2 linked regions of the Xenopus tropicalis genome follow. The protein of the gene in region 1 purifies or fractionates together with the protein of each later gene. This does not show direct contact. Links are inferred from orthologs where the notes say so. Each region holds a gene or a part of one and is shown on either strand. Other genes may lie near its edges.

Region 1 (4,656 bases):
GAGGCAGACAGAGGGACAGGTAGGAGGCAGACAGAGGGACAGGTAGGAGGCAGACAGAGGGACAGGTAGGAGGCAGACAGAGGGACAGGTAGGAGGCAGACAGAGGGACAGGTAGGAGGCAGACAGAGGGACAGGTAGGAGGCAGACAGAGGGACAGGTAGGAGGCAGACAGAGTGACAGGTAGGAGGCAGACAGAGGGACAGGTAGGAGGCAGACAGAGTGACAGGTAGGAGGCAGACAGAGGGACAGGTATGAGGCAGACAGAGGGACAGGTAGGAGGCAGACAGAGGGACAGGTAGGAGGCAGACAGAGGGACAGGTAGGAGGCAGACAGAGGGACAGGTAGGAGGCAGACAGAGGGACAGGTAGGAGGCAGACAGTAATTAGAGACAAGCTTGCGGACGTTGCAACATGTACACTTTGTACCCAAACGTCACGAGCCAAAAGTGAGATTTAAGTAGCGGCTCGAGGGGGACTTGTCCAGCCCTAACAACCTGCACTGAAACCTCTCAGCCCGACTTCCCCTCCAACATCACAAGCCGGCCATTTAACCCCATTCATGCACAGTCAAGCTGAGCTGATAACTAAGGCCGATACCCTCTCCCCGGAGAGCTCACTCCATGCATCTACTACCTCTATGTTAGAAACAACATGAAACCCGAGTATGTATAATGTATTCTCCTTATACCTGCCAGGCCCTGCAAGCAGTTTATTCATTAGTAATCAATCTGCTCCCCACAGCTTGAACTACAGCTCCCAGCAACCCCTAACAGCCTTAGCCTACATCCTCTCCCACAGCTCAGCAGCAGCAATGCCATAAAGGTGTATCAGCCTGCCACTGGGAGTAATTATTATACCCAGGTACTTACATCTAAAGAGGTAGTTCACCTTTGAGTTAACTTTTAGTATGAGATAGAGAGTAATATTCTGAGATAATTTGCAGTTTGTCATTATTTTTTGTAGTTCTGTAATTATTTCACTTTTTGTTCAGCAGCTCTCCAGATTGGAATTTCAGCAGCTATCTGGTTGCTAGGGTCCAAATTACCTTAGCAACCAGCAGGATTGGACTGGGCCGACGGGACACCAGGAAAAAACCTGGTGGGCCGCAGGGAGGCAGCCGGCGGGAGTCCCTACTGGGGGTGTGGGGGCCCCTGGTGACCAGGCATTGGTTTCAATGAGAGACTGATATTTCTAAACAGAAAGAAAAGTAATTAAAAGTAACAATACCAATAAAATTGTAGCCTCACAGAGCCATAGTTTTTGTTGCGGGGGTCGGTGACCCCTGTTTGAAAGCTGGAAAGAGGCAGGAGAAGGGGAATAATTTAAAAATGATAAAAATAAATAATGAAGACCAATTGAAAAGTTGCTTAGAATTGGCCATACTGAAAAGCTAACCTCCCCTTTAATGTTACACTGATGGCTTTATGCCCCACTAAATGCATAGTGCACACTCTCACTCAGACTCACACTCTCACTCAGACTCACACTCACACTCAGACTCACACTCTCACTCACACTCTCACTCAGACTCACACATATGACTGACTGTGACATAAAAGAGGAGCTTTCAGTAACCCGAAGCCTTTGCGCAACACAATCCTTGGGGTTTTTTTTTTTTGTTAAAGCGACAGGCTGTCTAGACACCCACGTGATGGGCCGCGCCATTGCGCACAGGAGACTGACAGAGCCGAGAGAGCCGGGGAGAGAGAGAGACAGGCACAGACAGGGGAGGGGGAAGTGAGAGACAGTCAGGGAGAGAGGAGGGGCACTGACAGCAATGAGCAGGGTGAAGTCCCTTGGTAACTGGGTGCTGTGAGTGTGAGCTTTGTGGACACAGCACCCCCCCAGTAGAGTGTAGGTGCCCCAGTGAACCCCCATAGCCGGCCCTCGTTAGCGGAGGGATACCAGTCCTCTCCCCGCTGCCCCTCGCCGTGTCTCCGCTGTGCGGCCGGTCCCTCCTCCTCTCCCCCCCCCCTCTCCCCATCGCACATTTCCATAACACAGACGGGGGCGGATCAGCCCTTTGAGAAGGAGGAAAAGACAAGTCCCACTTTATTTTTTTCCCCTCTCTCCTACTGAGCGGCCGGATAAAGGATTTTTCTTGTGGATTAAACAAGCGAGAGGCGCAACCCAGGGCTTCTACTTCTTTACTGGAACCGCATCGCGTACGGATTATCTATAAGGTTCTGCCGCCCTAGTGCCCCTACTCTCTGCCCATTTGCCCCCCATACACAAGGGATATTATCGGCAGACCCGCTCGTTTGTGGATGTACGAGTTGTGGGGGGAGCCCGCTTTCCTACCGGGAGGATTGTGTATAAATGCCCTTTAGATCCCAGGCCAAGCCGGGCAGCGCTCTGTGCTCCATTCAATGCCCCGCTGCTCCCGGCTCGGCTGCCCAGCATTAGCCCGCTGTATGTGTAGCCGGGGCGGCTGCTTGCCGTTTGCAGTATTCCTGTCGCTGCGACTCGGATCCCCCCGCCGCACTTTGCAGGATCTCTTCCCCTAAAAGACTGGCGCATGTTCCAGATCGCTTTGGCTTGTCGGACCCCCAGCTCCCCCCTACCCTCCCGGGCTGCTGCTGCTGGTCTCTGCCCGGCCTCGGATCCAGGATTCTTCATGATTTGCGGGCGTCATGCACGTTGTTTAGCCGGGAAGCCTTGCTCTCGTCCCGCATGTTCAGGACCAAACGATCGGTGCTCGTCCGGCGACTCTGGAGGAGCCGAGCTCCCGGGGAGAGCGGGGAAGGGGAAGGCGGGGAGAGGGTTCATGGAGCCGGGGGTTGCTGCCTGGGCAAATCGGCGAATAAGGTGCCCGGGAAGGCGCTGGGGGGCTCGGAGGCTGCAGAACTGAAAGCCCTCGCCCACTCCGTGCTGAAGAAGCTGAAGGAGAAGCAGCTGGAGGGGCTGCTGCAGGCGGTGGAGTGTAAAGGGGGAGCCCGCAGCCCCTGCCTGTTGCTGCCGGCGGCCAAGCTGGACTCCAGGCTGGGGCAGCAGCCCTTCTCCCTGCCGCTGCTGCTCTGCAAGGTCTTCAGGTGGCCGGACCTCAGGCACTCGTCCGAGGTCAAACGACTTAGTTGCTGCGATTCCTATGGCAAGAACAACCCGGAGCTGGTCTGCTGCAACCCGCACCATCTCAGCAGGCTGTGCGAACTAGGTAGGTGCCCCCTGTACCCAGACTGGCACTCACACACAGGGCAGGGTGGGTTTGCTCTGACTGCCATCCAGACTGGCACATACACATGGCACGGTGGGTTTGCTCTGACTGCCATCCTGTCCTGCAGGGACTTTGACACCCAGACTGGCACACACACACATGGCAGGGTGGGTTTGCTCTGACTGCCACCCTGTCCTGCAGGGACTTTGACACCCAGACTGGCACACACACATGGCAGGGTGGATTTGCTCTGACTGCCACCCTGTCCTGCAGGGACATTGGCACCCACTGGGCACAGCTGGTGTGTGTAGTTGGCATCAGAGGGTCAGTCTGGCATTAGTATTTCAATGCAGCCACAGGCTTGGGGGTTCAATATTGTGATGGGTAATGGGGATACTGATTTACTGCCATTTGGCACAGTTATAATGGGGTATATGACTGGGCATATTTATCTCAGGGCACAACTATTCTTTTTCCATATTTATCCTTGGGTATAGCGGGAATGGCAAAGGGGGCATGGCTCTGGGTTTCATGGGTACAGCACATTGGATACATTGGTCGCTGTGGCTAATAGCAGGGCAGAGTAACTTGCCCCTTGGTATAACTGACAGTGTGGCTTGGGGATAGTGGGCACGGTGGGTGCTGTGGGGGTACAGTCTGCTGTGTAAGCTGGGAGGTGTCATTGTCACTATGTCATTCCGTTGTACTGTGTGAAAGGAATGGGGGGGGTCACACGGATTGTGGGGGTGCCTTGTGTCACTTTGCCAGGAAACCTTCATATACAAGATACACCCCATTATCATCCAGTCTCCAGTCCTATAGCAGGTCTGCTGGGCTAATATCAGTGGCAATAAAGGGGGGGGGGGGCTTATGTATTTCTGGGGGGGGGGTCTCGGCTCATGTCATTATTAGGTATTATTCCCTATGACAGTAGTGACAGTGCCAGGGGGCTGAGTAGTTACTACTGACATCTCATTCATCCCCCCATCAATGGATCGGGGCTGTCCCTCCCTTTATTGCACTTATACCCTAGTAATATATTGTTTTTCCCTTCATTTACCTTTTAAGCTTATTTCTGTTCTGCTTAATGTGTTTATTAATCATGCCCTCCCCCCTGTTTCCTATTTACCAGCCTACTTTTATTATTACACCCCTATTAAAGTTGGGGTGTAAAGCGTAAACCCCCTCTTTTTGCTTCAATGCCCCTTTCTCCGGCGGCAGTTTCAGCGCACTTTTATATACGGCTGTGCGTATAATGCGCGAATAGCGAAAAAGTCTTTTCCCCAACGTACAGTGAAGTACAGTAAGGAGATAAAATTGCAGTTGCATGGCTACTTTGTAATCCTTAGAAAAATAGGGCAGCAAGGGGAAGGGGGAGGGGGTGTAAAAAGGAAAAAAAAAAAGAGAGTCCCTTTCCCTTTATCTTTTTGCCTTTCTGTGAAATGCTAACTGCTCGGCGGAGCTACAGGGGGATTATGGGGGCAGGAGTGGCTGAGCCCCCGG
Region 2 (4,682 bases), on another chromosome or scaffold:
CGGGCTGCTGTGTATGGGGTGGGCTACTGTGTATGGGGGGCTATTGTGTATGGGGGGCTACTGTGTATGGGGGTTACTGTGTATGGGCGGGCTACTGTGTATGGGGGGGCTGCTTTGTATGGGGGGGCTGCTGTGTATATGGGGCTACTGTGTATGGGGGTTACTGTGTATGGGGGGGCTACTGTGTATGGGCGGGCTGCTGTGTATGGGGGGGCTGCTGTGTATGGGGGGGCTACTGTGTATGGGGGGGCTACTGTGTATGGGGCGGGCTACTGTGTATGGGGCGGGCTACTGTGTATGGGGGGGCTACTGTGTATGGGGCGGGCTACTGTGTATGGGGCGGGCTACTGTGTATGGGGGGGAAAAACTGGTACTTAGTTATAACTCACTTATAACTGACTGCCTTCTCTCTATATTTGTATTTTAATGTAGGAGTTGCTGTATTGTTTTCCTTAGGTCGTTCAGTATGAGGGTATAGCACATTTGCGTCTGCTCCCGCCATTTGATCTATATAAAAGGGGTATTTTTTTAAAAATGGGGTGTGGTAATTGGGGCGTGACCACAAAAGGGGGCGTGGTCAAAAAAATTTGCCGCGCTGCGCGCGCCAAATCTTTTTGTCCCTCTTTTCATTTTTCAAATGTTGGGAGGTATGCCTTAGTGTGTTCATTAAATGTTTATCCTGTTCGGCCCGTCACCTAAAGTGTGTTTTGGATTTTGGCCCCCTGTGCAATTGAGTTTGACACCCCTGGCTTAGAGGGTCTTCACAAATTCTCAAGCAGAAAATGATGTTTGCCTGTCATTGAGGGTGATGCTACTGTTCTCATGCAGATTACACCGGCTTCAGAACATCCTTGCACTAATCTGTATTATTTACTCATCAACCTTATACTGTTACATTTATATCTTATATATACCGTATGCTGTGGGTGGGTCCCTGAAGTGACAGAAGCACAGAGCATGTGACCTGAGTCAGCAGAAAAGATGGGGCATTGATATTCCCTACTAATTGGCTGCAGTTGTCTTGGGCTGGTGCATAAGCTTAAAATATAATTTACAACATTTCTGCACTACTTAAGTTAAGCTTTAGTTGTCCTTTAAGTGCCAGGACTAGATATGTTCTATTGGTCCAACAGTACAAGTGTCATACCTGAGGTAAAGCTTACTATGGCTTACAAGCTTAAAAGATGTAATGCAAGGGTTCATAAACTAAAAGTCTGACTTTTAGGGGAACGCCTAAAAGTAAATTAGAGTTGCATTTGGGAAAAATATATATATACTCTTAGAAATATATCAGCGAGAGCTGACACCATCTCCTAGTGGTAAATATCCTGCGCACATCAGCGCTACCACACCACGTAAACAACAAGCGAGTCGCTGAGGAGGGAGGCGCTAGCAGCCCACGTGACTGTACCATCCGGGTTTTGCGGCGCAAGCATTCGACGTCACGTGACTCGGCGGCATCTTAGTGTCCAAAGGTAGCTACCTAACATGGCTTCCTTGGCCATTACGACTGATCCAAAGTGAGCTAAAGATTAGGAACCTCGACGAGTCCGGAGTGACTAACGTGCTCATGTCCAGGCTGAAGCAGGTATGTGCTGCGGGGCGGGCTCGCTACTGCAGTCGGGCTTCTCGGGCGGGCCTAGCGAGCTAGACGCTTCGTATTGAGGGAGGTATGATAACTGCTCAACATCGCATCTTTTACATTCATTTCCTGGAAGCCTTGGTTATTTATATATAATCAGGATTGTATTATATCTATATATATATGGATGGTTAATATAGGCTTGACACTAGTATTATTATCTTAATGAATGTGTTCGCAGGCTTCTTGCCACTTATGTACAGTATTTGTATTCATGGCCATTTGTTTTGGTTCTGTATGGTGAAATGTATTTGTACCTGATTAAAATGTAAACACAATTTCTCTCCATGAGCAGCTCGTATTAAGGGAATAACCATCATACATGAAGAGTGCTATTGATCTGGAATAGGTTCCCAGTTAGAAGAGACACAATCTCACAATTACATTTTCAACTTTAAGGGCAATAACCGATAAGGAATTTAGTTGTGCAGTTAAGTGATTTAACTTTTATATCTGCAATGATTCTCATTATCCACAAACGGAGGTAATTTGTAGGCATTTTGCCATCGCTGCAAACCATTGGGGACAAAATGCCACATCTGTCATTGTCCTTAAAGGGAATGTGTTCTTTGGATAATTTCTTGCACTTAAGCTACTTCCTGTTCCTGTGCTTCTTGTTTGGATCTTGTTTTGGATATTCATCAAGGGGCATTTAAAATGATAAATGTTGAGTTGGCAGTGCAGTTACATATCAAAACAAATCGTATCATTACTTTCATTTTGTAACTTATAGGTTCCTGTTCTAAGCTGTTTGGTTGTTACTGGCAGCTACACTTGTGCTGTTTAGTAACTGTATTTGTAAGTAAGCTCTCAGATATTTGAAAAGAAATACTTGCATTTGCATATCCTGGTTAGTTTCGAGTTCTTATTAAAGGACAAGGAAAGCCTGTTTTGCTGAGGTGTACCAAAATGTTAGGAACCCCCCGAGTTGATTAAATCACTAAGTTTTTATGCAGGCCATTGCTCCTTTTCGGTGGAAAATGTACCAGCCCATGGAAAAACTAAGGGGCCCATTCATTAAAGCACGAATTTTGGGTGGTGAAAAGCACGATTGGAAAAAATGTGGAGTAACCACAATAATTTCTGATGTTTGAAAATGTCAGTTTCTTTTCCCGGTCGTAAGAAAATATCGTGGTTGCGATCCGAAAGTCACAACATTTTTGGATCCAAACAATCGTAAATGGCGCGAAAACCTTTCTGGCTTTGAAACTTCAATGCATGATTTTGGAAGCCTTCCATAGGACTCAATGGCACTCTACAGATCCAACCTGGCCAAAAGATAGTCACTATACCAAAGCTTGAATGAATTCCGCAATGGTCGTAGTCTTTGCGAAAAATATGACTTTTTCATGGAAGTTAACGAAAAAGTATTGCAGTTTTAATGATATTATCGTGGTCATTATGAAAAGTTCTATAAATTAGAAAAAAAAAAAATTCTGAAAATAAAAATTTGTGCTTTCATAAATGGGCCCTTATGTGTTGGCCTAGTGTTTACTTACCTTGCAGTCATCGGCTCATTTTAGGCAGAGAGAAATACATCTGTTTGGAAATTAATAGTCTTGCCTTTACTAGTAATCTATAAAAAGAATATTAGTATTTATATTGCTATGCAACATGTGACATTTAAGATCTTTTCTCCAGGCCCTCAACTATGTCTAAATATTGGACAAAAAGCAGTTATACAAAAGCTTTGACATGTAGGTGAATAATGTTCTATAATTCATACAAATAGAGGAATGTGGTCATTTAAATAGCTTAAAGTGCCCCTGTCCCAGACCTTCAGCTTAAAGGAACAGTTCAGTGTAAAAATTCAACTGGGTTAAATGGATAAACTGCACAAAATAAAAAATATTTGCAATATAGTTAGGCAAAAAATGTAATCTATAAAGGCTGGAGTGGACAGATGTCAGCTCTCTAACCTCTTGGTTAGTCAGTGACTTTAGGGAAAGGGGGGGGGGGGGGGGGTTTGGCACTTGGGACATAACTGTTCAGTTAATTTGTGAGTATGCAGGTCGGATTAAAATGCAAACTAACTGAACAGTCATGTCCCACATCCCCCGCCCCCTTAAGTTACTGACTGCTAACAGCTTAGAAAGCTGTAAAGGAGGAAGTAGTGATCTGGCCATTATGTTGGACATCTGCCTGCTCCAGCCCTTATAGATTACATTTTTTGGCTAACTAACTTTATTTAAAACATTTTTTATTTTGCGCAGTCTATCTATTTTACCCAGTTTAATTTTTACACTGAACTGCTTTAAGGAGATATCCAGTTTAAATTTTACAAAGATAGACTGGCACCAAACTGGACCACAATCAAATATTGCTGCTTAATAATTTCATAAAAAGTTTCAACACCTTTTAACAGTGCTGGGGAGTTTTGTGCCTACATGGGGCACTTAGTCATAGGTTTAAACGTCTTTGTTTCAACTCGTATTACTTTTATATGAAAGAGGCAGCAATCGCATATATCTGTTACAGTATTTTTGAATTGTAGACACCAGCAGTTTCCCAACTCCTGAATTCCTCATTTATGATCCTTTGTATCTAAATTCTAGTGTGTTACTCTGTTAACCATCCTTATTCTCATAGACCACTTGCCCTTAGCTAAGAGTGTTGCTCAGCATATAGTTGATAAGTTCAGGAACATATTTCATATGCCTGCTAGTAGCATAGGGGCTTTTCGTTGCCTGCATGACATTTGGAAATGCAGTGAATGAAATGCTGTGCACAAGTATGGATGACTTCTGTGTTACTGTCTGATACCTGCAGCCATATGCCATATGTTGTCCCCAATATTGACTAACAGTTCTACTGTTTGAGCTGTTATGTGGTTAAGAAGTTCTGAAGGTGGCCATACACCTTACAATTATGATCTTTCCTGCAACCATTTGTCTCACCTGATTGACAAGACGACCGATATCCGACGCTCTGACATCGGTTGTGTCGCCAATGTGCCATACACGCACCGAATATCATACAAAACTATGTTTTGTTTAATATCAGTGCGTGTATGGCCACAATAAAGCTAATATTCTAATAT

Evidence for each region. The genes of interacting proteins can lie anywhere in the genome.
Region 2: the proteins of smad7 (region 1) and rnf111 purify together in Homo sapiens (affinity purification with western blotting; 3 studies listed by BioGRID). This does not show direct contact. The link is inferred for Xenopus tropicalis from reciprocal best matches to the Homo sapiens genes SMAD7 and RNF111.

Annotation. Positions count from the first base shown.
Region 1 is NC_030677.2:205,593,828-205,598,483, reverse strand, and holds the start of smad7 (mothers against decapentaplegic homolog 7), read left to right. Parts: upstream 1-1,609; 5' UTR 1,610-2,672; coding exon 2,673-3,153; intron 3,154-4,656. UniProt on the Homo sapiens protein: Antagonist of signaling by TGF-beta (transforming growth factor) type 1 receptor superfamily members; has been shown to inhibit TGF-beta (Transforming growth factor) and activin signaling by associating with their receptors thus preventing SMAD2 access.
Region 2 is NC_030679.2:99,170,670-99,175,351, forward strand, and holds the start of rnf111 (E3 ubiquitin-protein ligase arkadia), read left to right. Parts: upstream 1-1,425; 5' UTR 1,426-1,588; exon of another isoform or gene 1,589-1,670; intron 1,671-4,682. UniProt on the Homo sapiens protein: E3 ubiquitin-protein ligase. Required for mesoderm patterning during embryonic development. Acts as an enhancer of the transcriptional responses of the SMAD2/SMAD3 effectors, which are activated downstream of BMP.